Schizosaccharomyces pombe: one gene and its partners. The gene in region 4 interacts genetically with the main gene of each other region. Each region holds a gene or a part of one and is shown on either strand. Other genes may lie near its edges. The genes, in order: mis4, cek1, ppk18 and clg1.

Evidence for each region.
Region 1: of clg1 (region 4) and mis4, a mutation in one rescues a mutant of the other (synthetic rescue), as found in Schizosaccharomyces pombe (one study listed by BioGRID).
Region 2: of clg1 (region 4) and cek1, changing one suppresses a phenotype caused by changing the other (phenotypic suppression), as found in Schizosaccharomyces pombe (one study listed by BioGRID).
Region 3: of clg1 (region 4) and ppk18, changing one suppresses a phenotype caused by changing the other (phenotypic suppression), as found in Schizosaccharomyces pombe (one study listed by BioGRID).

What each region holds. Positions count from the first base shown.
Region 1 is NC_003424.3:391,099-398,739, reverse strand, and holds mis4 (adherin Mis4), read left to right. Parts: upstream 1-1,800; 5' UTR 1,801-1,850; coding exon 1,851-1,959; exon of another isoform or gene 1,960-1,998; coding exon 1,999-2,194; intron 2,195-2,237; coding exon 2,238-3,573; intron 3,574-3,616; coding exon 3,617-4,084; intron 4,085-4,128; coding exon 4,129-5,912; exon of another isoform or gene 5,913-5,952; coding exon 5,953-6,088; exon of another isoform or gene 6,089-6,127; coding exon 6,128-6,784; exon of another isoform or gene 6,785-6,824; coding exon 6,825-6,902; 3' UTR 6,903-7,112; downstream 7,113-7,641. Other genes in the region: ATP synthase complex assembly protein atp25, read right to left, coding at 1-1,031; pre1 (proteasome core particle subunit beta 4), read left to right, coding at 7,567-7,641. UniProt on the Schizosaccharomyces pombe protein: Plays a structural role in chromatin. Chromatid cohesion molecule required for equal sister chromatid separation in anaphase. May form a stable link between chromatids in S phase that is split rather than removed in anaphase.
Region 2 is NC_003421.2:1,747,747-1,754,804, forward strand, and holds cek1 (serine/threonine protein kinase Cek1), read right to left. Parts: upstream 5,198-7,058; 5' UTR 4,904-5,197; coding exon 887-4,903; 3' UTR 516-886; downstream 1-515. Other genes in the region: nar1 (iron hydrogenase), read right to left, coding at 1-71, 150-242; SPOM_SPCC1450.12 (uncharacterized protein), read left to right, coding at 6,541-6,819, 6,888-7,058. UniProt on the Schizosaccharomyces pombe protein: May facilitate the progression of anaphase through direct or indirect interaction with the cut8 protein.
Region 3 is NC_003424.3:3,975,716-3,982,709, forward strand, and holds ppk18 (serine/threonine protein kinase Ppk18), read right to left. Parts: upstream 5,141-6,994; 5' UTR 4,975-5,140; coding exon 4,844-4,974; exon of another isoform or gene 4,799-4,843; intron 4,481-4,798; coding exon 655-4,480; 3' UTR 537-654; downstream 1-536. Other genes in the region: tRNA (guanine) methyltransferase Trm5, read left to right, coding at 1-117, 167-247, 299-364; SPOM_SPAPB18E9.04C (uncharacterized protein), read right to left, coding at 6,987-6,994.
Region 4 is NC_003423.3:1,745,277-1,749,405, forward strand, and holds clg1 (cyclin Clg1), read right to left. Parts: upstream 2,541-4,129; 5' UTR 2,151-2,540; coding exon 765-2,150; 3' UTR 501-764; downstream 1-500.

The DNA of each region.
Region 1 (7,641 bases), on a different chromosome or scaffold from region 4:
ATAGTACTGAAAAGCGTATTGATATCCTTTGTAGTCAGTTGCAAAGAAGAATCTTTTCGAAGTCGCTCAAAAATTGAAAGAGTAAAATCCAAAGAAAAATTATTAGGATTTTGGAGATGCATTTTCTTATATTTTTCCAAAGTACTCGTCAGATTTTGTGAATTGACGTTTAACAAGATATCCTGGGTATCGCAATAAAGGGATGCGGCACTTTTTAAAGAAAAGTTACAAGTATGGAAACTTCTCCGAAATACGTTCGAGTGGTTATTAATAAAATTTGGAGGTAAAGAATTATCAGGTGTAGATTTACTAGTGAGTGAGACCCTAGATTGTTTGCCATGTTCGAGATCAGAATACAAAGTTTCATCCTTAACATGTTCAATATTGTCCAGTTTATAGTATTCCCTAAAATTTTTTGTAATTACATGAATGCTTATGCCGAAGTTTTCGATACTGAGACATGTCCAATTATTTTCAGACGTGTTTAATTGTCGGTTTGACAAATTGGAACGTTTCCTCATTCTCCGTTCTAAAATTTTTCTCCGAGATGCACTAGTAAGGCCATCTACGTTCACCGGTCCAACGTTTTTTTGTTTTAAAAGGCGAAGTAAGCCATTAGTAGCGGATACAACTTCAGATCCACAGTTGCAAGAAGCTAGTAAAATAAGATCTGAATCACACCAAAAAGAATCGGCGGGTGAGTTAACAAAACTGAGATCAGTGGCATAATACTTCTTTTTAAGAAGGTTTAACACATCAGCTAAAAAGTTTGGAGCACCTTTTGGAATAGGTGGCAGCGCAACCGCATCGAAATGCGCTTTTTTAGGAAATAGATTATGTTTTTCATCCACATACCATGGTTTTTTGCTTGAGACTTCCTCTGGTTGCGAATTAGCGTCATTACTTGAATTATCAGGAACTAAATTTTCAGGAAACTTTTGAGAAGCGAAAGGTCGTTTGTCAAATTTGCTTCGAAAAAAGGAAACACATAGTTTGTTGAAACGTAGATAATTAAAGCGATATGTGGGCATTTTTTAATAAAATATGAAATCTCAGCACAGTCATTAAAAATATAAGAATTAATATAATTGAAGTGTTACCTTATAAAGCCGAAAAAAGAATTTCTCAATGCTGTTCTATCACAGTATAACATGAAGACATTGTCTTCTGTTTGAATAGTAATAGATAAAACTTAGATTAAAGCAACAAAAATATTTAGTATGTTTTAAAACAAGACCGCAAATTATTAGGAGAAAACCAAATATTTAATGACCTTGGCACGTTTTCCTAACCAAGAGACCGATTCTAAATAGTGTTCCACTGTAGAAATACGTAATCACCAATATCCGAAATGTACGAACGTTTCTTATGTCAGCAATACTACATTACGCTATGATACACTACGTTGCGTATCACTATATGTCACATGTTCTAATTATATATCGTACCATTTATGATACGATATGGAAATTAATCTTAATGATAATCTATTAAGATCTATATTATCTGAATACTATAAATAGAGCTACTGCTGAACTCGTTCCTCAGTTCAGTTATGAGCTATATTAGTGATAGGTAACATTATAACCCAGTTAATACAATACCTATACTCAGTTGCTACTTATACAACCTGTGTATTGTAATATAATAGATCACAAGGAAAACTCACCGCAGTTCTACGTATCCTTAAATCAGATACCAAACTGCGTAGCTTACATCTTAATTGCATTTTCCCGTTTCGGTCTATTGCCTTAAACTTGTTTACGCTTTATATATACCGACGTTTCTTTGTTTTTAGATGAATGAATTTAATGATAAATACTTCCCTTTCTTAGCTTTGCAATGTTTTGATGCTTTTCGAGATGACACCTGAAACCTTTAAAAAAGTTAACTCCTCTAATCGAATTATTAAAGGGCTTCAATACACACCATTAGCATCATCAATCCCATTGGAAAATGGTATGCATACAGTTTGAACGCGTCTATTAATTTACATAGGTTTACAAAACGTATTATATCCATCTTCTAAATTTCAAAATGAGCCATTGCAACTTAACTCCGAAGAATCAAGTATTATGCAAAGATATGTGGATATGCTAAATCCTGGCGCAACATTCGTTAACGATTCTGAAACCTTTAATTTTTATAAAAATGCTCTTAGCGCTATGATAACGGAACCTGCAATGCCCGCAATGTAAGTTAAATTTTTTGAGGTTTTTTATCTGACAAATATAAAGGAGGGTGAATGCCAGTCCGGTCCTAGACCAAAAGGTGTGTAACAGTGACTCGTTAAGTGAATTAAATGATTTTACAAAATCTCTGATTCAGCCAAGTATGTTGATGTGTGAACCCAAGGAGAAACCTGATGCTTCTTCTATAAATACAAACCGTTCATCTTCCGACAATGGCTTCTTAACTCCGTCTTCAAGTCCTCGAAGTCCATCATGTTCTCGCGTATTTAACGCTGTTCAATTATGTAGCCCTAAAAAATCTAAAGATGATATTACTACCCCAAAAAAGCGACTTATGGAAGACACTTATTCGCCTCGTGAATCTCCCTCAAAGATCCAGCGGTTGCAGGACGTTTTGTTAAAGCAGTTGCAAGATACCAGATTACTAATTTCTCAAGTTATAGAAGCTGAGAATTCGGAAGATTTTTCATCGAATTCTCTCTTTATTAAACGAGAAGACGATGATGGAAAACACATTTCATCGCACGCAATTGAAAAGCTATATATGGCATTAACCAAGCTTAGTCGTTTGGGAGCTTGTGACAAATTGCTGGAAGAAGGGAGTATAATACTTGTAAAACAAATCCTTGAGAAAGAGTTAAAAGAGCTTCCTGTCGCTTGTTACAGTATAATTAATCTTCATGACAGCCTCACACAATTTCCGAATTTAGACTTTATTTTAAAGACCACTGCTCTTGTTCTTTTTATAATATTTCTGGTCCCCTCCTTTAAAAAGCTTCAAAATGAAGAATCAATTCTTCATTTACTTAATATCTTACATTCCATATTTGAGTACACAGTTCCTGAAGCGATTGATAACATCGTTCAATCAAAAACTTCCGATGCTAGGACTTCTGAAATTCAACATCTATCAGTTTTGTTACAAAAAGTCGCAAATGTATTAAACATCTTATCTAAAGTTGCCCATGAAATTCCCTTGTCGGAAGCTGTGGTCATACGCATTGTATATTTATTTCCCAAAGTCTCTACACTCGACAATTCCTTCAAAACTAAACTTCCTAACTGTAACAGCTCATCCTTCGATTTTCTTAAAGCTCCTTTATTTCAAACGTTACAATATTTATTTCGTCTTTATCCTTATCAGCGAGATTTTATCATTGAAGAATCACTTACAAATTTTTCTCACTTGCCCACTGCTCGTTCGGTCTCAAGGACCTATAGACTCTCTAACGGTAAATCCATACAATACTATTCAACCCTATTTGTACGTTTAATTCAGTCATGCTCCATTCAAAACTTATTCGACTCAGAAATTGTACAATCGGAGAGCAAATCCACTGAAGCTTTACACTCAGGTAACTTAACAGAACATCTGAAAACAGTATGTAATGAACACTAAATAAAAATCAATTTCTAACGTGTAGGTCGAATCAATACTATCCAAGTCTCGACATGAAGAATACCGGATAGCTAATCATATTGTTGCTTATTTGCTTAGTCGTTCTTTAAAACAGAATAAAACGGAGAGTGACAACTCATTTGCAATTTTAACCAAAATCCTTTTAGAAGATTTATTAAACATGCTTTCTTTGCCTGAATGGTGCGGAACCGAAACAATTATTCGGCAATTTGCAATGAATTTAGTTATGACTGTGACTAACGACAAACAAGCAGTTTCTTCAAAGAATGCTGCGCTGGATCTTATAAGTCTCATCGTTAACAAGGTTTTGGCATTGTTTGATCTTTCCCTTTTCGAGAAGCACAATATCCCAGCTCCTACGAATTTCAATGATATAATATCGTTCATTCCCTCAATTACTAGATTAAATGAACTTTCTCAAGTTAGCTTTAACCATTTTTACTTTTTATGCAAAGGTGACATATCTCTGGAAGTAAGTGAAAGTTAATTGCTTGTTTATTATATACTAACTTACAGAACATACTCCCTTATAACTACAATAAATGGTTTTCATTTCTCTTACAGCTTAGAAAAGTATGCAATGACTCCGAAGCTTTAAAAATTATTGATAATTGTATCGATAAGAATATGCAAAAGTCTCAAGAGGGGTTTCAAGGTCCTTCACCATTTAAAGCAGATGAAAATGACGAAGATATTTTCATTATATCCCTTTATCATTCTTCTTTGTTTTTAAATTTAAAGTTTTTTGTCTCGCTCATTATAGGCTTTCTCGATAGTCCTCAAGCTAGTCTTCGAACTAAATGCCTTCGAATCATCAATCAAATGAAAACTATACCTTCTATATTAAGAACACATCCAGAAGTTTTGGCTCAGATAATATCAAAATCGAATGATCAGTCTGCGATAGTTCGAGATACTGTGTTAGACTTACTTGGCACATATATCATGGCATATCGGGAGACAATTCCTCAAATATATGGTTGTATAATTTCTGGAATTTCGGATCCTTCAACAATCGTTCGTAAACGCGCTATAAAGCAACTATGTGAGGTTTATGAAGCTACCGAAGATTTAAATATCCGTGTTGACATAGCTTCAAAACTTTTAACCCGGAGTAATGATGAAGAGGAAACAATCAGTGAATTAAGCCTTGAGGTTTTAGAAAAACTTTGGTTTTCACCCGCAAGCAATGAATTAGATTGTCAAAAAGGCTATGAGCAATTAACTTTCTTAGAAAAGCAGAAGTTAAGAGTTCAGTATTTTCCTATTTTAAAACTATGTGCTGAACCATCAACCGAAAGACACGTCCTGTTGGTAACGTCTCTGAAAACCATGTTGACTTCTAAGGAAGAGATCAATTTGAGTACACTACACACTCAAATTCGACTTCTTCTCTCTTGTCTTTTCAATCAGCTAATAGAAGTTGTAACCGAAGATCAAGTTGATGAATCAACAAAGGGAATTTTATACGAAATAATGAGTACATTGTTTGTTTTTTCACGCGCTTTTCCCTTCCTCTTTGACTTGTCTTATCTACACCTCTTAAAACCCTATTTACGATCTGCTTCAACTATTGAAGAGCAACGTTTTCTTTACTATGTAGTAGCTATTTTTAGACAGGTTTTACCATTTCAAAAAGAAATTTCTGAAAGCTTCCTACGGAGCCTTGAATCTGTGTTACTGCAAAGGCTTACTAAAGCCGGTACTGCAACGTTAATGGAAATAGTTCCTTGTCTTTGCAGCCTATTTACAAGACTTAATGATTATGAAAGGTTAAAGAAAATTGTGGTTTCGTGTCTTAAATCTTTAGAGGAGGCACGACACTCAGAAAACAATTTTCAAAAAATGGTTCGCTTAATAGACCTCATTGGGCTTTTTTCTAGATATGGGGATCTCAATAGAATAAATGATGATTGGAAACATTCACTTGATTTTATTAGTCCTGAGTGTGATGATGCTTACGTTATACTATTAGGTTATTTTCAGAAACTTCTAAAAGATGCGAAAGGTCAGCTGAGAATTCACATAATTGATAACATGAGCAGAATATGTTTAAGAGAAACATCTTTGTTTATATCTCCTCTTATGTTATCAACTTTGGATATGATAATTGCGGAAAATAATGTTAACGAAGTATCTGTTTTGTTTAAATCTTTTCTTGAGCTTTTGGCCGCGGATGAGGATCTTATCTTTGAAGCAGATCAAAAGCTAAGTTTAAAGGGTAAGCAAAACGTTCAGTCCAACAAATCAGTTGATCGAGATATGCTTAAAGGAACTAAGGATAAACAATGGATTGAAGGGTATGTATTTTATAAACAAACTATCACTAATTTAATGCAGAGTCAGTGCATCTTTAATGCAGCATTTCCTTCCCTGTATTCTTGACTCTTGCTTTTCAAAAAATTTAAGGTATTCAATGCTCGGAATTGAAATTCTCAAATGTATTATTCATCAAGGACTAGTAAACCCACGCATGGTATGCCACTTTTTACTTTTTGATTACTAATTAAATTAGTGTTTCTCAACCATAATAGCACTCGAATCCAATGCAATTAAAGAAACCAGAGAAGTAGCAATTTTGCTTCACACTGAATTGCACCGAAGACATGAATCTTTGATAGATGGCTTATATGCTCAATCTGCAGATTTAATATTTTCCCTTCAAAAAACGGAGGAATATCAAACATTTAAGTTAGGCGAATTTTCGCCGTTCCAAAGTGCCTATACCATTGTCTCCGCTGATAAAAGTTCAAAATCTAGGAAAAAATTAATAATGCAAATATTAAAACCTCTTAAACTCGACGGGATTGATTTACCCAGCTTTACAGAAGAAAAAGTTTCATTTGTAAGCTTTTGCTGTGTATGTCTGGCAGGAATTCCATACGTGTCAATAGAGGAACCGTTAATGATCATTTCAACAGTTGATTCGGTGCTCGCGACGATAGGCCCTACTATTACTGGGTGGATGAAAAAACTAGATCATGAACGTTTTAAAATCCTTGCAGGTATCAACTTGTGCAATTTGATATATCTTAAGAGATATATAAAATACGCATTTTCAATTTCAGACTCATCTCGACCTATACGTGAGAAAAAGCCTCTAACTCTTTTGAATAGAGGTTATGTGGATTTAATTACTTCTGATGCTAAGCCAGATATTGTTTCTAAGTTGGTAAGTTAAAGTTCCTTAACCAAATTGCTGACTGTTTTAGGTGATAAAATTGTTTGAAGAAGAAAATATCCTTTCTGGCGAGGATCAAGTTGAAGGGGAACAGCTTACAGTTGTCTAAATGAAAAAAGGGATTAAAAAAAAAATCAAAAAGCTCTCAAGCAGTATATTTCAAAAATATTTATTTTATATGGGTTATCAATATTTTTTTATGAAAAAACAGGTTATCCAATTTGATTTTTACTCACAATAATAGGCAGCAACATTTAAAAGTTCTGAACCATGAATACAACTCGCTCCAAATTTCATTTATGCATTATTTAATACCAATAAGACATTCTTTTCATTTATTGTTTAAATAAGTAACAAGTAAACAGCTTGAGATCCTTTTAATTAGATGTTAAGACATAACTGTTAAATGACACTGCTAGTTCTTTAACTATTAATAATAAGAAACAATCATTTTTAGAATAGTAAAGGAACTTGTATCGTCCCAAATTTTTATTTTTTGAATGTAATATTCAAATCAGGATATTTATATGTTGTCAGAGTATTGAATTTTCAAAGTACATGAGTAAGCACGAAGAGATAAACGTGCTACTACGATTACACTACAACGGCGGTAACCTTTAAAAAAAAAAGAAAAAAAGCTATTTCTAAAACACAGACATTTAAACGATTGAGTGAATGATTTCGCCTATAGTTTTCCATTGGCATCTCGTTAGCGTACTAAACGTCTCAGCTCAGCACAACACTTTACCTTTACCAAACCACCATCAAAAGCCATGGAATCACTACTGGCAGTTCAGGGTCAGGATTTTGTACTCACTGCTTCATCATCATCAGCAGTTCGTGGAATT
Region 2 (7,058 bases), on a different chromosome or scaffold from region 4:
CCAAGTTCGGAGGTCTCTCCAGTATCCTTAGTTACTTCATAGTAAGCATCCCCGTCTATACGAATGTCATTCTATCATGTTAGTTGGTTGAACAAAAAAAATAGAGATGTGACAGATGTTATACTTGCTGCTCTTCCAATGCATCTTACCTTGGATTCCTGCTTTTTAACTTGGGCAGGCTTTATGCAAACAGCTCCAGGACTTAAGAAGTCATTCAAGTCATTTACAGACAACTTTGCCATTCTGCCATAAAATTACAATGCTTGCTAAAAGTAAAACCCAGCATTTGTCATTGGCACAAGAAATTCTTTATTTTAGTAATATTATTTGCCACACTGTGGTGCACTATCCTTTTTATGAGACCTGAAAAAAATAAATGAAGTATGGAATAGTGAAACATGGTTTACTGCCTTATTCGTTTGCATTCTCAGTACCCGAAAATCATCAATATATATATATATATGTATAAAAAAGAAGATACTTTATTATAGTATTGTATTTATCAAACAGTTTGAGCTTGTTATTTCCGAATGATATATTTTATTTGTAGATTTAAATAAGTAAAAAAAAACTAAAGAAATGAGGGTAAACAAAACGAGATCCGTATAAAGTAAAACAACGGTTATGGTAAATTAGTATACAAATATTTTCATAATGTTCTTCACGTGTGAAAACTTATAAAAAATGCAAATGTCCATGAATAAACAGCGGGTTCAAGTTAAGGAATGCAACGCACTGAAATAAATACTTAAAGAAGGATAAAAATGCCACATTGGTCAAAAGAAAAAATAGTTAATTTTTTAAAGAATGTGCATGGGAAGTTATAAAATGAAAGGAAAGAAACAGTATATGAAGCTGATCTGGCATTTAGTATGTAAGATTCAATTCAAGAGTGCCAAACATCTAACTTTCGTAGACAGCTTTCAATGTTCTCACAAGTAATGGGTTTCAACAAAACTCCATCAGATTGTAAATCAGTCGGAATGCAAGTCTCGTCCTCGCAAATGTATACAAACGGCACCCTTGAATTTATAGTAGCACTGGTTCGCACTGAATACATTAATCGGGAAGAAGATACTTTATCATTTCCAAAATGTAAGAATACGACGTTAAATTGCTCGTTCTGCAAAAGCTTCTTAAGAATGCTCCATGGATCATCTATTAGAACAAGCGTTAACTTTGGAAAAATTTTTTTCAAGATCTCCGCAAGTTCAATTTCATCCTTAGGAATTATCATTTGTAAACGGTCAAGCTGAAATAACCCTGGATAAGAAATGGCATTTCGCTTATGAGTTAAACTCTGAGCTTGTAAGTTGTCAATCCTGCCCTTCTGAATTGTAGTATGTTCATCTGATGAGGTACCCTCTGTAACGTCTGGTAACGCCGTGTGCATGCTTGATTGCGATTGTGATGCTGACATAGTGCTTGAAACACCCTTATGATCTTCTAACGCTAAATTATCAAAAAATGAAAGCATCCGACCTTCTTTCAGAGAATCAAAATCATCAATTGAATCAATTGAATCTGTAGTAATATCTTGCACTCTTGTCGTGGTGGATGCCTCATAGTCAGCCATTGAAGCTCGACGCGAAGACTTAACAGGACCTACACTTTGAGAAGTTGAAAGTTTGGCTTTAAACCTACTCATGTACTGACTAAAGGTGTCATCAACAGAAGTCTTTGCTGATTTAACAGCCATATGCTCCTTTCTAAGTTTTTGAATAGTATTCCGGTTAGCTTTATTAAGAAAATCCAAGTTTCGATATGTAAAACTTCCAAATTCAGGAGTACTAATCGTATTGCTTCGTAAACGACCTTTACGATTACCAGACACATGCTGGGGTATAGAGGATGCAGGTCTTTCTTCTTCCAATTTTTGTGCTTCTGTCACCGTAGGTTGATTGTAATATTCACTGAAATCAAATCCTTTAAGTCCCCTAGAATCAAAATACACAGTGTCTTCAGGAGAAAAAGGTTTTGGTACAAATGGAGGGTCCTCTTCTAAGATAGTATCCCAGTTAACAGACTTGAAAAAAGGATGTGCTTTTATCTCCTCTACTCCGTTGGCACCAAGCCTATTTGCCGGATTCATACATAGAAGGCGATCAATCAAATCCAAAGCAACACTACTTTCAGCAGTAAAAACTTCGGCAGGCCAATTGATGCGCCTAGCAAGAATATTTTGAAAGACTTGGTCAGGCGTTTCCGCGTTAAACGGGGGGTATCCAAATAAAAACTCAAAAACAACGCAACCCAAGGACCACCAATCACTCGCTTTAATACCAGGATTTCCAAGGATAACTTCGGGTGCTATATAATCAGGTGTACCAATAAATCGCTTAGAGGGATCTTTATTTTCAAAAAACGGTTGAACTCGAGGCGAATCTGTGCTACGGAAAATGTTGGATTCGTCTACCTGAGAAGTAGGAGTATTTGTTGCAGTGGGAGAATCCTCAGCGCTGTTCTCGTAATTGAAACTTTGTCCAGCAAGTCGAATACTAGTACCATCTAAAGAAAGAAGCTTTTCATTTAATGAAGGCCGTTTGGGACGCTCTGGTGTTATCAAAGACTGTGCTTCTAGTACCGATGAAGCAGTACTAAGTGATAAATCAGATATAGCACTAGAGCGATCTCTCAAGTCAAGTACAGGAATTGAAGAACTCTGTTTTCTCCTGTGTCTTTTCATATAACCGACCCGACTCAAACCGAAATCTGTGAGCTTTAAATGTCCGTTCTGTGATATGAGTAGGTTTTCAGGTTTGATATCACGATGAATTATTCCACGATCATGAAGATCACCTAGACAAAGAACAGTTTCAGCTATATAAGTTCGAATCCAATCCAAATCTAATACACCCATGGTTTTCAGAAGTGAACCACAGTCTCCGCCGTTAAGATATTCCATAACTAAATAAAGGTAGTCTTTTGATTGAAAGGTGTAATACAACTTGGCAACAAATGGTGATTCGCCTTGAGACATGAGAATAGCACGTTCAGCTCTAACATTGATAACTTGATTCTTTGCTATCATATTCGATTTTTTTAATATTTTAATAGCAAAATAATCACCAGTAGTTCTTTTCTGAGCCAGATACACAGAGCCAAACGCACCTTTGCTAATCGGCTTCAATATTTTGTAGTCATTGATAGAAGGATGCTCAGGGGCAGAGTTGGGTACAATCGTATGTATACGAGGTGATGGTGATGGTAGACGTAGTCCCACATCTCCAAGGTTGCTGGCCCTTCCACGAGAAAACAAAGACGAACGACCGTTAGATGCTGGGCGATTCGGACCATCAGAAGCCACAAATCTTGGACTCGAATTTGGAGAAAGATACTTTAAATCATCAAAACGAGGATCGGAGAAATTGGAATCAGATGCTTTTCTTCTATGTAACGGAGAAGAATAATTTGAACTATCTTGACTCATAGGCGAACCAATTGCAAAATCTGGATTACTAAGAGAAACATGGCTAAGATGCCTTGAATAAGAAGAGGATCTTGAAAGATCATTGATATCAAGGCTTCTATCAGATTGTGGTGTATTTGTAGCGCTCCCGGGTCGAGTAATGCATTCCTCTGCCTCGAGTGCATCGCAGGCATCAGGAAAGGTAATTGAAGGCGCTAATTTAGATTCCAAGTGTCCTAAAGAAGTAGAGGAATGATTTGTTACCAAATTCGATACGACATCATCAATAATTTCTTGAACATGATGGTCAATTTCCAAACGAATACGTTCAGAGTAATAGATTGCATTTCGAAGACGCAAAACTCCAGTAATTTTAGTATCAACTGCTGTCTTTATGTCCTCCCAGAGAGCAATCACTGCGGATGAGCAATTTTCTAAGGACGGGTTATAATTATCAAGCTCGATAGTAGCTTTTTCTGACCGCGGAGACTGAACACGAAGAGAATCCACTTTATCAAAATTCACAATGATTTTCACTGGAGGAATAGTAATGTCGATAGCCACTTCCAAGTAGTACATAACCTGACTTAAGAATGAACATAGTGATAATGTTTGTTTATTCTCATCGGTAAAAAAATAATCATCCGCATCAACAATAAGCGGTTCATTTTTGTATACGGGAACAAGACTTGAATCTTTCTGCATTCCTTCCTGAATTTCCAGTAAGGTACTCCGGAAATAAAGCAAGGAATCCTGAGCAGCCTGTACAACAGATTCATAGGTGCTTGTGCTAAGACAAAACTTGGAGTGCAACTCGAAAAACCATGATTGTATTTCACGTTCACATATTTGGCAAAACTCTGGGGTCGGAAGTGGTAACGCATCTAAGCTGTTATGCTTGTGATAGGAAGTCCTTAAGTCGCATAAATATTTGTCTAAAAGACTGGCACCGAAACCGATGACATCCAATAATTTAGTTACAAGAGGAGATACACTACCAAGGGAATTGGTAGCTGGGTTCACAACCCACATCGTGTGTGCGGGAATTGCGGACCCAGGATGACGAATGAGAATTCCAATAGCATCAAAAGGTTTTGTAATTTTTTCATCGCTTGGAAGATCTCCTTTAGCGGTGTAATAGTTTTGATTGGCATGATTAGCGTTAATTGAATGTTGGAACCGAACATGATAGCTATGAGAGTCATCCTTCAAAAGACAGTTAACGGCTCTCATAAACGCATTGTATCCATCGGTACCAAGGACTTCTGCTACAGAATGCCCAATGATCTTGTCTTTGGGTATATCCAAAAGTTCGGATGAGTTATCGCTAATAAATTGAAAGTTTCCGGAAAAGTCAAGCTCGAATGCAACGGGAGATAAAGGAATGGAAGGTTGAAGGTTCTCATCTTTTGAGCTGAGAAGCTCTGCCTGGGAATGTTGAGCTTGGTCATCTTCCAAGAAGACTTCTTCGCGTTCGTTTTTTATATGCTTCATATACAACTGACGGAGTCTCCAGCATACAGTAAATTCAATAGAGGGATAGGATCATTAGAAGTATGAGCAGTAAGTATGCTAATTCGACAACTTTTTATATAAAACAAATAAACGCGCTATAAATAACTGAGTCACTGAAAAAACAAAGGAAAGAAAAACGAAGAGTATGAAATACCCAGCTGGATAATTCTAAAACAAACAAAAACAATTCTTTTAATAATGATAGAATTTCCACTCAGTATCTATACAATCAAGCTAGAAAAAAAGAACGATTTTTAGTACTTGGTGGTGGTTAGGAGTTAAGTGGCTTACAACTTAGTATTAGTATTGTGGTTCATTAGTCTGGCCGCATAATTCGTCAACAAATAAAAAATTTTTTCTCTGCTTCAGAACATAAAGTTATGCTTGTACAGCATGTATAATACTAGATAAGTATTCGGGGCGAAGATTTCATAGCAATGAAATGAATTAGGGTGGAGTGCTGTAAAGTAGCCAAGTTGAATCGACAATGTGAAGTAAAATAAACAATTTAAGAACAATTGTTTTAGCTGCTGGATTATAAATAGACAGTATGATGCCTATGGAATTTATAGATGTATGGGCACAAAAAATGGGTAAATACATGGGGTAAACATCAACATTTATAAAAAAAAAATGGTTGCAAAATTAGCACGCAAACGTTTAAAGATATCACTTTGTTTGAAAGAGGATCAATTGCTATGCAGAAGCGTGTTAGATTGGCTGCGCTTTTTTTTTATTATGTCTAGAAAACACAGACTTATAAATAATACCATCATCGCTTGGGAAGTACAGAAAAGTATAATAGAAGAATTTCAACTTGTGGGAATACATAAGCTATTTAAAAGGAAATATTTTGCGATTGCAGCTGATCTCTATATCATTGATTTTTCAATCGAGTGAAAGCAGACGGACTTGTCTTGAGTTTTTAAAAAATAAAAATAAAAAAGCACAGTAGTTACAATTAAAAATAATTATTAATTGGAATATGATATTTCCGTTTTTTAGGAATCGCTTGATCTCTTGTTTACAAAAGTAAATGATATGTTGTTTATTTTTTATTCAGTTTGTGTTACTCTTTTAAAAAGTCTAATATAACAAGATATATGAATTTGGACTTCCTATTATTTTACTTCTTTTTTTTTTTTTTGAAAGTTTCTAAATTTTTCAGAGAACAGAAATCTTAAACTATTTCCTTGCTCATTCAGAGGTGTAAACAAAGAATACGGAAAGCGGTCCATTCTCCCGCAAAGTTATATAAAAAAAAATGGAGCAAGCAGTATACAAAAAATCACATAATTAAATTTATTTATTAAGGAATGTTTTCTCATCAATGAATGTTTCCTTTTGCCTACCTTTTTCGATTTCTGCACCTTTTTAACATTTTAACATAAGGAGTGGTAGTGTAGAAACCATAAACCTAATTAGCGTACTTTCGCTTATTTTAACTTAGCCTTCACATCTTATACTTTTTAACGTATACTAGTCAAAAAATATTTTAACGAGTGTCCCTTAAATGTCGGTATAGACCTAGGTGAAATAAATATTACATATATTATTTACGAACTGGTACTCCCCTCTTACAGCATTCCGTGTAGCGGATAATTGATATTTACGACATGGATACAGCATCTCCAGAAGAGATAGATGCTTTAAAAAGACACTATTTGAAGAAGGAACTTTTCTCTCTTTTGATCGCAGACGAATTGAACTTCGTGAGCGAACCCACCAATTTGGATCATCTCGGTAGTCCATTTGTGGAAAAAGGAAAATCCGTGATCCCCTATGAAAAATCCCAAATTCCCGTTTTACGCTTCATCTTTAAAAGATTTATTTTAACGTTTCCGTTTTTGGATCCTGATAGCCAAAACCAACTTTGGAATGTGAACTTCCGCAATGTACGTAATAATGGATGGAAATGTTTTAAAAGTATGCGGATTGTTACTAACCAGATATTCTTTGTTAGCTATTAAAATCTCTCTCAAAAAGCAATGTCTCTGTTCTCCCGGATGATTCCGATGCTACGCATTTGCACAAATGGTTGCTCAAGTTCCAAAACATGCTTACTCTACTCATGAGTCGAGCATTTCATAGTATCCAGGATGAAAAGAACATTAACATTGAATTGCTAGATACC
Region 3 (6,994 bases), on a different chromosome or scaffold from region 4:
GATGCTTTCAAAGGTTGTTATTATGGATTGGAGTACTTGTTTAAAGACCGCTCTCTTCCAAAAGTTCATGTTCACTGCTTTTGTAGATTTCCCGATCCTGAGGAAGATCTTATAAATGTATGAAATGCTTACTTTAAATGAAAATTTACTAACCAAGTTTTTTTAGCGGATATACGCTTCGTTGGGGTATCGTTTTTCTCCTGAAGAAGTTGACTTTTATTATGTCCGAAAAGTTGCTCCCAACAAGGTAATATCCTTCTTTATATAGCACTTTTAATGTAACTAACTAAACAACTAGGATATGTACTGTTGTACTTTCACGTTACCTGGTTCTATAATATTTGCTAAACCGGTTTCAGGTTAGTCTTTATAGGATTGAAATGTCGTTCAGGAGAAGATGAGCTATTTTGGGCTTATTATTTTTTCATTACTTTAACTGTTACATATCCTGTAGAAAAAACCTCAGTAAAAATAAAAGTTATAAATCCAAAAAAGTCTTGTAAGTTGACAAAAGTAAACTTTTTTCAAAAAAATTAGTGTTATTAATATTATTACTATTATAATTATTATACATTCGAGAAACAAAAAGGAAAAAATTAAAGAGAGTATGGTAACAACAAAAAATGAGCAATCACGATTAACAAACGTTTGAACTCATTTATTGCAAAGCCGGGCTATATAACCACGTAAAAGGAACGCGTTGATAGGCAAGTATAACCGTCCATCAAACATGCGAGGAATAGCAGCATTAATATCGATTCTGGTAGGTGTCAAAGCTATAGCTGGCGTATTTCGATTAGCACAATTACTTGATCGAACAATCTTTAATATAGAAACACCAGAAACACGAGTTAAATCTAATTGCAGAAATATGATCGAAAACTTCTCATCAGCCATTAAAGTTCTTAACATTTTGTCCTCATCGGTAACAATAGATACTTGAAACTTGTATGATTTTAGTAACTTGATCAGCTCTGAAAACAAATTCAGCTTGCTGACACATATCAAAGCCTTTAAGGGGACTGAAGAAGAGAAAAAAGGAGGGGTCTTTGAGAGTGGAGAAGACAAAGGAGATGCTTGACCCTCCTCAATTTTAAACGGATATGAAGTTTCCAAATTCGAAATCGGAAGATCAAGATTAAAAAGATCATCACTTTCAGAAGAACCAGTTGATTGATTCGTATGAGAGCTATGCTTTCGCATATGCAGTTGCTTAATCAAATCGTGCATTGACTTCGGGCCATCAGTTTTAGAACGAGATTCAACATCAGAACTGTTAATGGACTTCCTAGGTGTTGAATCAGTGGAAGAAAAATTAGAGCCCTGGTTTGTCATTAAAGAGGGACTTAAAGTTAGTTGCTGATCATAAAGTTTTGCAGAAGGCATATCGGAACCAGGGGTGTATCCAATGTGTGGATCCGGAGGGGATATATGTAATTTGCCAGCTATTTCTGATCTTATTTTTTCAATAGCATTTCGATTAGCTCTTTCCAAAACGCTTAAATTTTTATAAGAAAAGGGACCAAACTCGTCAAACTCTGAGTTAGCTTCGCTAAATCGGCGGCTTCTACGAGCTGACGTACTTCTCTCACGACTGCGACCATGAGATGAACGAAGGAATTGTGAACCTCTTTCCTGAGAAACATTATTATCCTTAGAAACTTCCTCTCCGCTATTTACAGATGAGCTCATGTTAGATTCTGCAGCCCCAGCTCCACGACTATCAAAATATGCAGTATCAAGTGGGGTTTCTGGTGCAGGTATAAAAGGAGCCTCGTGTGAAAAAATGTCATCCCAATTAATCCCATTAAAAAAAGGATGTTCTTTGATTTCATTAATATCCGAAAACCCAAGTCGTCTCTCCGGATTTGGCTGTAGAAACCCATTAATCAAGTCTAATGCTTCCTCGGAACAAGGATACATTTCTAAATCGGGCCATGCAATGTTATTAGCCAAAATATTTTCAAATACCTTTTCCGGGGTCTCTGCGTGAAAAGGTGGATAACCAAACAGAAACTCAAACAACACACAGCCAAGAGCCCACCAATCAACCATATCATCCTGTGTACTTCCGCGAAGAGTTTCAGGTGCTAAATAGTCAGGAGTACCAACGAATCTTTTAGGAGCATCAGGTTGTCTAAAAAAAGGAACCGATTGTAAATTAGGAGTCCGATTGACTTTCTGAGAGTCAACTGGACTTTCTAAATATTTACTAGAGATGCTATCTATGCTCGTACGAGTAGTAGTAGTGGTATCATCCTCTTTATACGTAGTAAATGTAGCCAACTCTGTTTTTTGCTTTTGCGATTTTTCATCATACGAAAAAGCACTAACACTGGTAGGTAAAATCAAGGGAGAACTGGCAATATTATCACCGGGATCACCCAACGCAGTAGGAGATTGAAAGCTGGGTGGTGACAAAATATTATTTTTACCCTTTTGTAAACGTAATTGCCGTGTAGTTAAACCTAACTGACTTAAGCCGAAATCCGCTAATTTCAGATGTCCAGTAATACTCATAAGGATATTGTCCGGTTTAATGTCACGATGAATTATACCAAGCCTATGTAAATGCTCAAGACCTAATGCAACTTCAGCAATGTAAATTTTTGCCCACGATTCCGGTATAGTGTACAACGATTTTAATAGGGATGCACAATCCCCTCCATTCATGAATTCCATAACAAGATAGAGGTAATCCCTACTTTGAAAGGCATAATACAATTTTGCAACAAATGCAGATTCTTCTTGCGCCATAAGCACAGCCCTTTCAGCTTTCACATTAGCGACCTGATTTTTTGAAATCATGTCAACTTTTCTTAAGACCTTAATGGCGTAAATCTCCCCAGTGGTATTTTTACGGGAAAGGTAAACAGTGCCGAAGGTTCCTTTACTAATAGGCTTTATAATTTCGTAATCTTGAATAGAAGGAGTCCCTTTACCACTGCTAATGTTGGATGACAGTGTCGATATGCCAATCTGGCGACTCAAAAATGGTTTTGGTGACTCTGTTTCACGGAAAGAATTACGCTCAACTGGGACAGTAAGTTTACTAAAGGGAAAACTTTCAGAGGTATAGGAAGAACCAACTCCATATAAAGTATTAACTGCACTCACAGATTTTCTTCTAGAAGCAATGGGGATTGCAAGGTTGTTGCGACGGCTTAGGTTGGGAGATCCACTATTAGTACTACTGTGATTTGTAGAGGAACGGTGGACTGAAAAAGAATTGGATGAATCAACACTAGCAGCAGTAATCGGCGGATCATTCCTATGGTTGAACTGTGAAATATCGTGCACTTCCTCAGGAGAAACAGAAGGCTTAACTGTATTAAATGGTTCGCATTCAATAATAGGAGATTGTGTCATAAGGGTTTCTTGAATTGGTTCAATAAGTGTAGGAGTCGTAGTACTGAGAGGTTCGTCATAACCATCAACTTGAATGGATTGTTCAATAATGGTCTGCACTTGATCTTCAATTTCACAACGAACACGCTCAGAATAATAGATGATGTTGCTGAGACGATTAATGGCATCAAGCTTTTTTTTTACTAAGGCATCCGTGTTTTCAAACATCAATTGCAACCCAGGGTCATCAATATGTGGTAAGCACCATGAAAGAGTTTTTGCATTGAAAACCTCACTAGCTGGTGATAATAAGCGTATTTCACTAAATGGTTGATTGTCTTCCCTGGTAGTGGATTCTGGTATGAAAGGTAAATGGATGGCTAAACAACTATCTGTATAACTTATGGCATCAAACAGCATGTTACTAATGTAATTTCTAATTTTTTGGGACAACGATGACCGGGAATTCGACTTCGCGGAGGAAGTAATAGAGGAAGGAAGGACGGCGGCGAGAGGAACTCCCAAATATGATACATCTGGTTCTATCTGATCGTCCAAAGAATCCAACAAACTTTGTAAAGCATTTCTTTGTTCGTTAAGAAGGTCATTTGCTTCTTGAGCACGTGCTTCAGCATGGTGAATGAGAAGACAAAGTTCAGTATGATGCTCAAAGTACCAATTTTGAATTTCATGATCGCAAACCCTGCAAAGTACTGTTTCAAAGGGAGGAAGACTATCGGTGGAAGGAACGGTTTGAAGCTTTTCAAGATGTTGGGCCAGTAACTGAGCTCCAAAACCTAGAGTTTCTGTGAGTTGCTGGCCTATTTCCTGACGAGTGATTCGCGTGGGCTTCAAAGGTTGCAAAACCCATAATGTATGAGAGGGTCGGCTGGTTAAGGGATCACGAATGAGGACACCAACGCAATCCAATTCGACAGACTTTGATTGCAGCTCCATTTCCTCATCCTGAACAAAGACATTTTCCTCCAAGGAGGGCAGCTTCGAAATCACGGTATGAATTTTAACACTGTGGGAGTCATCGTCAAGAAGCTGTTCAATGGCTGCGTTGAATATCTCCTGGTCGGATGACAGAAGAGCTGCAGGTTTGCCAGTAAGTTCTAACGAACTAATTCTATGCAACTTGGTTAGTAAAAGACCTAGCAATAAATTGAAAAAGAGCAAGATTTCAAAAGTTGAAGGACAGAGGCGACCCAAGGAGTATCAGCCATAGCTTGGCCAATCCAGCTTAAAAGAACTAAAACAGGTCGGCAGCAAATAGAAGATTTAAGTATTATACGTATGACTTACAGATCAAGGCAATTGAAGCCTTATTCAATGGCTATTTTTGCGTAATCTGCAAAGTCATACCAACCGAATCGTTAAAAGAAAGATACAAATTAAATGTACAATATAAATATTCTAGCAAGCAATGGTATCCTTCTGCCAACAACACAGAGAAATTTCGTAACATCGCCCGCTATTCCACTGCACTTACCCGGTAATCTGTGAGAAGTTTGTACTTGCAAACAGCACAGATCCGTCTAAATCTAACTCCAAGACATAAATGTTGTCTATTCCGTGATTTACTTTGTTATCCTCGTTGGAATTGCGTTCTTGCATTACCATTAACTTTATAACTCCATTCAGATTTTGATCCTAATGTGCGACAAGTAAAACCATTCGAATACAATTAGCGTTTCGTTATTTCATAAAACCCAATCTATCGACTAAAAAAACATAGACAATACGGTAACCAATTGATATTCTAATCAAACACCCAATTTATGAACGTGGGTGGCTCTTGATGACTGTGTCAATATTTATATGAGTGAGCAGTGCGTAGAGGCTAATCATTGTTACCCTGGGACGATTGATACCTGTGCTTACTTATCCCTTGATCAGGATTCACTAAGGGGAGAGATCGCGAGCCGATGTCTTAAATAACGATTTCGATGGCAATAATTATATAATTATATATCGTTGATCGCTATACTTCGGTTTATGAATTTTCATTGCAAGATGAAAAAAGGTTGGTGATTGAAAGGAAAGCGAGACAATGTAATGCAAGCTGTAGAAATGCGGATTTTTTTTGGAAATGTCTTCCATGATGTGTTATTCTGCTTTCATTTCTGTAACATGATTTTGCGCGGAAAGGTCTCAAACAAAAGTGCGACTGCGCGCATGCACGTATGCGCTTAATCCGCTTAGTACCAATTATAGATGGAGGATTGATATTTTGGCAGTTAGGATTAAAACCTGTTCTTCTTCAATCCCTCTTTAAAGCAGGGATACCCTCCTTGCAGCCCAACTATTCCTCCGATTCGCACTACTAATTTGTTCACAGGCTAATGTTTACAGATCTGTTGGAATAGGGATGAATGCGCCCATTCATAGTGTTGAAAATAGGATATTCGAGTTGCTTTGTTTAGACACCCCATCATTCAATATGCTCACAGCTGTGTTGGTAAGGAATGCATATGTATTATTGATGCATAAGGAGTTACCAATTTGTTAATAGATAAGTAGGTCATAACTGCTATTCTTTTCCAAAATCATAATTTCTGTCGCTTTTCATTAGTACCTGCTGAATAAAATTGGTAATGGATGGGTCATCAGAGAAACCGTTTTCTGTACCGGATTTTACACTCCCACGCTCTCATGCACAGCGTTCTAATAAATTTCCGTATATCTTAAAAGAATACATTATACTCTATGTTAAGATCATATTTCCAAATTCGATTACTTGACAGTTGACTAAAAGAGTGTATAGCGTGTACACTACCACAAAGAAAAGTTCCATTTTAGAGTTGAACCCCCGAAATTCATTCGAAAAGCAAAACGATTTCCTTTACTATGTTTTTTCTAAATTTTCCATATCGTAACGAAAATTTTGGTAGGGAGAATAACTCACTCATCACAAGTTGATCATTTTATTGCATACATGGTAAAACCCATTTTTAGAGAAAACGCATCGGCTGATACTAATTTGCAATAAAAAATATATTATCATCCCTGGCAACTGTTTATTAGTTTTAGGTTAGCATGGGAAGAACAGTGGTGTGGAAAACGGTTAAATTAGGAATTGCTCGATAATTCAAGCACATGGAAAACTTACACCAACTTCTTCTTTAACAACTTGAAATTAACGTCTCCATCATTGTCGTATTCATAATAGTGCAATATTACTGTATAATCTAACAACTTACACAATACAATATTAGTTATTCTTAGCTACAACTTACTTGAAAACATTAATCACATGACTTTTCTTATAAGCTAAAGATTCATTATATTTCGAAATGAAATTACGAGATGTTAAAGAATCACGAATTCAAAAAAATAGACGACCATAACAGTGTCAGGTTTCTTAGATACTCTGCTTTACTAACATAGCGGGCAGAAATATAAAAGATTCTTGAGATGCAGTTATGCTCGTAAAAAATAAATAACCGATAACCGCTGTGAACGAGAACAAAAAAAGCACATGAAAAAGCCTTGAGCTCAGTTTAGCTAATCGATAATTCGAATGAACATAGAGAAGTTTATATTATTCAGCGGTCACCACGATCATACAAACAACAAACCATCAGATATATTTCATCAAACCACAAGTTAAATTTTCATCGCATACCAATCACCTAAGCGA
Region 4 (4,129 bases):
ATGCGCAATAAAACTAGGTAATCATAACAAACAGTTTGGGAGTTGGAAAATCGCAATAAAAAATTTTATGCTTAATCCTTAGAAAACAGCAAGCAAAGGTTTCTCATTTAAGTATCAAAAGGAGAAAAAATAAACAAAATAAGGACAAAAACGATGCCCGAAGTAAAATCTTTGCTAATGAAACAGAAAAATAAACTCAAAGCATCCATGGGCCTTTTCATCTATTCACAATGTATTTCTTGATGAAGCTAGTTGTATAAGTAGACTACTAATTTTTGAAGGCGAACTTTAAAAAGGAAATCCGCGATCCCTATAGTAGTAGCGGATGTATATACATCAAGCAGTATTAACAAATCAGAATTGCATCAAAAGATATTCCAATAGATAACAAAGCCACACGAGAAAGCAAAATAAAAGTCCAACGACAAAAATAAAACAGATACTGATAAGAAGTTGGTTCCTTTTTTTCGGTATACTACTTTTCAATTTTTTTTGGGAAATTTTTTTTTTCTCTGTTAAAATTTGAAAAAATAAGAAAGTAGAAAAGCAAGATCAAACGGCAAATTAATTTCAAGAGAGCCGAATTCATCACGGAGATGATTAGAGAATACAATATGACGGGTTAAACAAAAGTTCCCGTCATACAATATGAAAAGAGAAAAAAGTTACAAGAATAACAAAAACACGTAAAGTGTTTATAAGCGCAAGGAAACGAAAAACAAACCCCGTCAAGCAACAACACCCGCAGAAAGTAAGCACGATCACTAAGTCATTGCATAGCGATTGTACACTGGATAATATCCCACGGGTGTATAGGGATAATAGTAGTTGCAATTAGAGCAAGAACGTCCAGAAGAGGGCGATGGTGGTGCGTTGGTGCTCAACGTAGTAGGGCTATAAGTTTTTTGTTCACCAGAGTATGTAGCGTTTGAGGAAGTAAACAAAGAATAAGAAGCACTCCACCACTCCCATGCCTTTTGACCACGAGGACCGGGACTAAGATTCCAGGACATGCTAGCTAGCCAGTCTTGTTCAAAGCTGTTCAACAAGGCAGTACGGAAACCAGTAACTTGCGACCAGGATTGATTGGTAAACGTATTGTCATCCAAAAACTTATTAGCCAAAATCAAGGCGGTCGTTAAAAGAGCACATATTTGGAAGAATAACGACTCCTTAGTCCACTGGTTTACAAAATCAGTCGTTTGAGATGCGGCGTCAAGACGATCGGAAAGGTATGACAAGGCAAGCAAGCAAGAGGCACGAGGTAAACGCGTAGACGTCAAAATTTGTGTAACGACCTTACGGAAAGAAAACACAAGACCAGGTAAAGAGTTAGCAAGAGAATGCATTTGAGCATTATTCAGGAAACGAGCATACAACTTACAAGTCATGATAGACAAGTATTCCACCATTTGATCCATCTTGTAATCCAGTTTAGCAGCAACACCTCCGGTATAAACGGTTTCTTCCTGATCCTCCATGTTAGTTTTGCAGACAGGAGAAATACGTTGTTGAACGTTAGCAACCGAAGGCATGTTAAGATTACCTGGGATTGTATTATCAGTCTCGGAGGTAGTAGTGGCGGTATTGTTGGTTACAGGCACATCTGCTACGGGATGTCGAGACTGATAAAAGGAAGGAGCACAATTGTTAGCAATCAAAGGGGCGGAAACGTTGTTACATGCAGCTGATACATTCACCGAATTGCCAAATTGATCTTGGTTAGGATTATAGGCAACGGCAGAGTCAGGCATATAGCGTTGCTGGGAGGGTGGTGGAGGTGCGGCAGATGGAACCGACTGATAAGATGGCCAGTAATAGTTTAGAGGCGCAGAAGGGTAGAGACGTGGTTGAGGTTGCTGTAAACGGTGCTGCGACAGAAGGGAAGGAACAGCGGAAGGATGATGAGAGGAGGAAGGGATGGAGAAGCCCGACCTTACCGAAAGCGTATCGGGCACAGAAACGCCAGGTAAGAAGGACGGACGACGCTGGCCAAGACCATACATAGGAGCATGACTCAACAAAGCAGCAACCGAAGAAGCAGAGTTTGCACTATTGCTGGACGAAACAGGAGCAAACATACTCAAGCCGGGGGCAGCCAAAGGAGGCTGAACTTGAGAACGTGAAGTGTGCTGATAAGGAAACGACATTGCTGAAGAATTTCGAAAAGGAAAGCAAATTGAAGAATTAAAAAAAAAATTTTTAACTCCTTTGCTATTCTACCTAATCAAGTCTTTTTCGAGTTTTGTAATCGATTTCTTGAGTACTCCTTTCAAGGAAAGAAGAATACAAAGGAAGAACGATAAAAAAAAATGAAAAAGAGATAAAGAATGCTCAACAATAAGAAATTTACCCAAGAGACAGGAAAAAGACTTATTAACACTCACTTCTAGCAAAACCCGACCAAGGAATGCTTGTTTCGCTGGCAAATAGACGAGGCTTAGTAAAAAGCTCGACTTCTGCAAAAAAACTGCTAATATAGAAGGAAAAAAATAGGATTGAACCCTCCAAACTAAATTTTACGGTGGTTGGTTGTGCGCAGGTTCTGAAAAGCTGGTAACGCAGTTGAAAATGCTTGCAACTTAGGAAAGAGAATTTTTTAGGAATAAAAAATTTCACTTTGTTAAGCACTGAAAAATAGCGTAGCGTTGAAGATTATTCAGCAAGAAAGTTAAACCCAAATTAAGATATCTAACGTAATAGATCGGTTAGATAACTTTATGGATTTTAATTAGCAATTGCCGGTGAGGAAAATTGGGAGCGAGGTAAACAAACAATGGGACAAGCAGGAAAAAAATCAAAGAAAAATAAGTTAAACGTAGCAAGACAAACAATAAGTATGTAAAGAGGAGAATTTGAAAGTTATCTAAATAAAGAAACAACTTGAGAAGTAAAAATCGAGTAGAAAGTGAAATGAAATGGAAGGAGCAATTAAAGAGGAGAGAATAAACAAGAACTGAGTATGATAGACGAAAAGTAGACGGAAAAAAGAAATTAAAGAGACAAGAGAAAATCAACTGGTGGATGTCTTTGTCGTATAAGAAAAGATGTATAAATAGAAATCAAAGATTAAAAAGGGAGGTAATGTTTACTTCAGCAAGTTGAGAAAAAAAAATTCAACAATTAGCTTTTCGAGACAATTTGGAGTGAAACGAAAAAAAAAGTAAAAAATAACAGTAAACAACAAAAACTGAAAAAAAAGGGGAGATGAAGAGCGAGTAAAGAAATCGGGTTTGTAATTATAAAAGGATAAGTAGGGATGAGCGATTAGATGAATGAAAAAACAGAGAGAGAGAGAGAGAGAGAAAAAGAAAAAAAAAAGGATTAAAAAGTAAAAGAAAAAGAAAAACAGACTACAAAATGTAAGCTGAAAAAAAAAAAAAAAAAAAAAAAAAAGTTGTTCAAGTCTCAAGACAGTATACAGTACGCAAACTTTTTTGAATAAGGGCTAACCAAAGCACTGAGTGAAGAGTGTATTGGCAGTTGGGGGGGAAGCCGTAGAAAGAAAGCAAGGCAGATGCTTTATATATATATATATATATATAACTATATGTACTTGAGTAAATAAATAAAAAGATGCGCGCATAAATACAATTGTAGCAGCGAAAGAAGAAAACGTAAACAAACAAACCAATGAAAAATTAGGAAACCAATGACAGCATGAATACTCAGGAAAATGAGAGAGAGAAAACGAAATTAAAAGAGGAGAGTGAAGGCACAGTAAAAGGAAAGGGAAACAAAATAACAAAGCAAAGCCAAAACAAAAACAAACGATGCTAGAAAAGAAGAAGGCGCGAAATCAAGGGCGCGCAAAAGAACAATTAAGAGTGTAGAGAAGAAAACGCGTGAAATTAAAAAATAAAAGGAAGAGAGGAAATGGGGAGGAAGGAAGGAGAAAACGCAAGCAAAGTTTGTTGATGTATATAGGCAAAAAGCCGTCGGAGCCAGAATGAGCATTAACGGAGCACATGAGAGGGAGACAAACCTTGTTGAGTGGAGAGTGGAAGGAGGGAAATGGAGGAAATCGTTAAATGGGATAATGAAAGAGAGAGAGAGAGAATAAGAAAAAAGAGCGAGGAAGAGTGGAGTGGTTGAGGGGAATAGTGGGGTGAAAGGAGGAGGAAGGAAG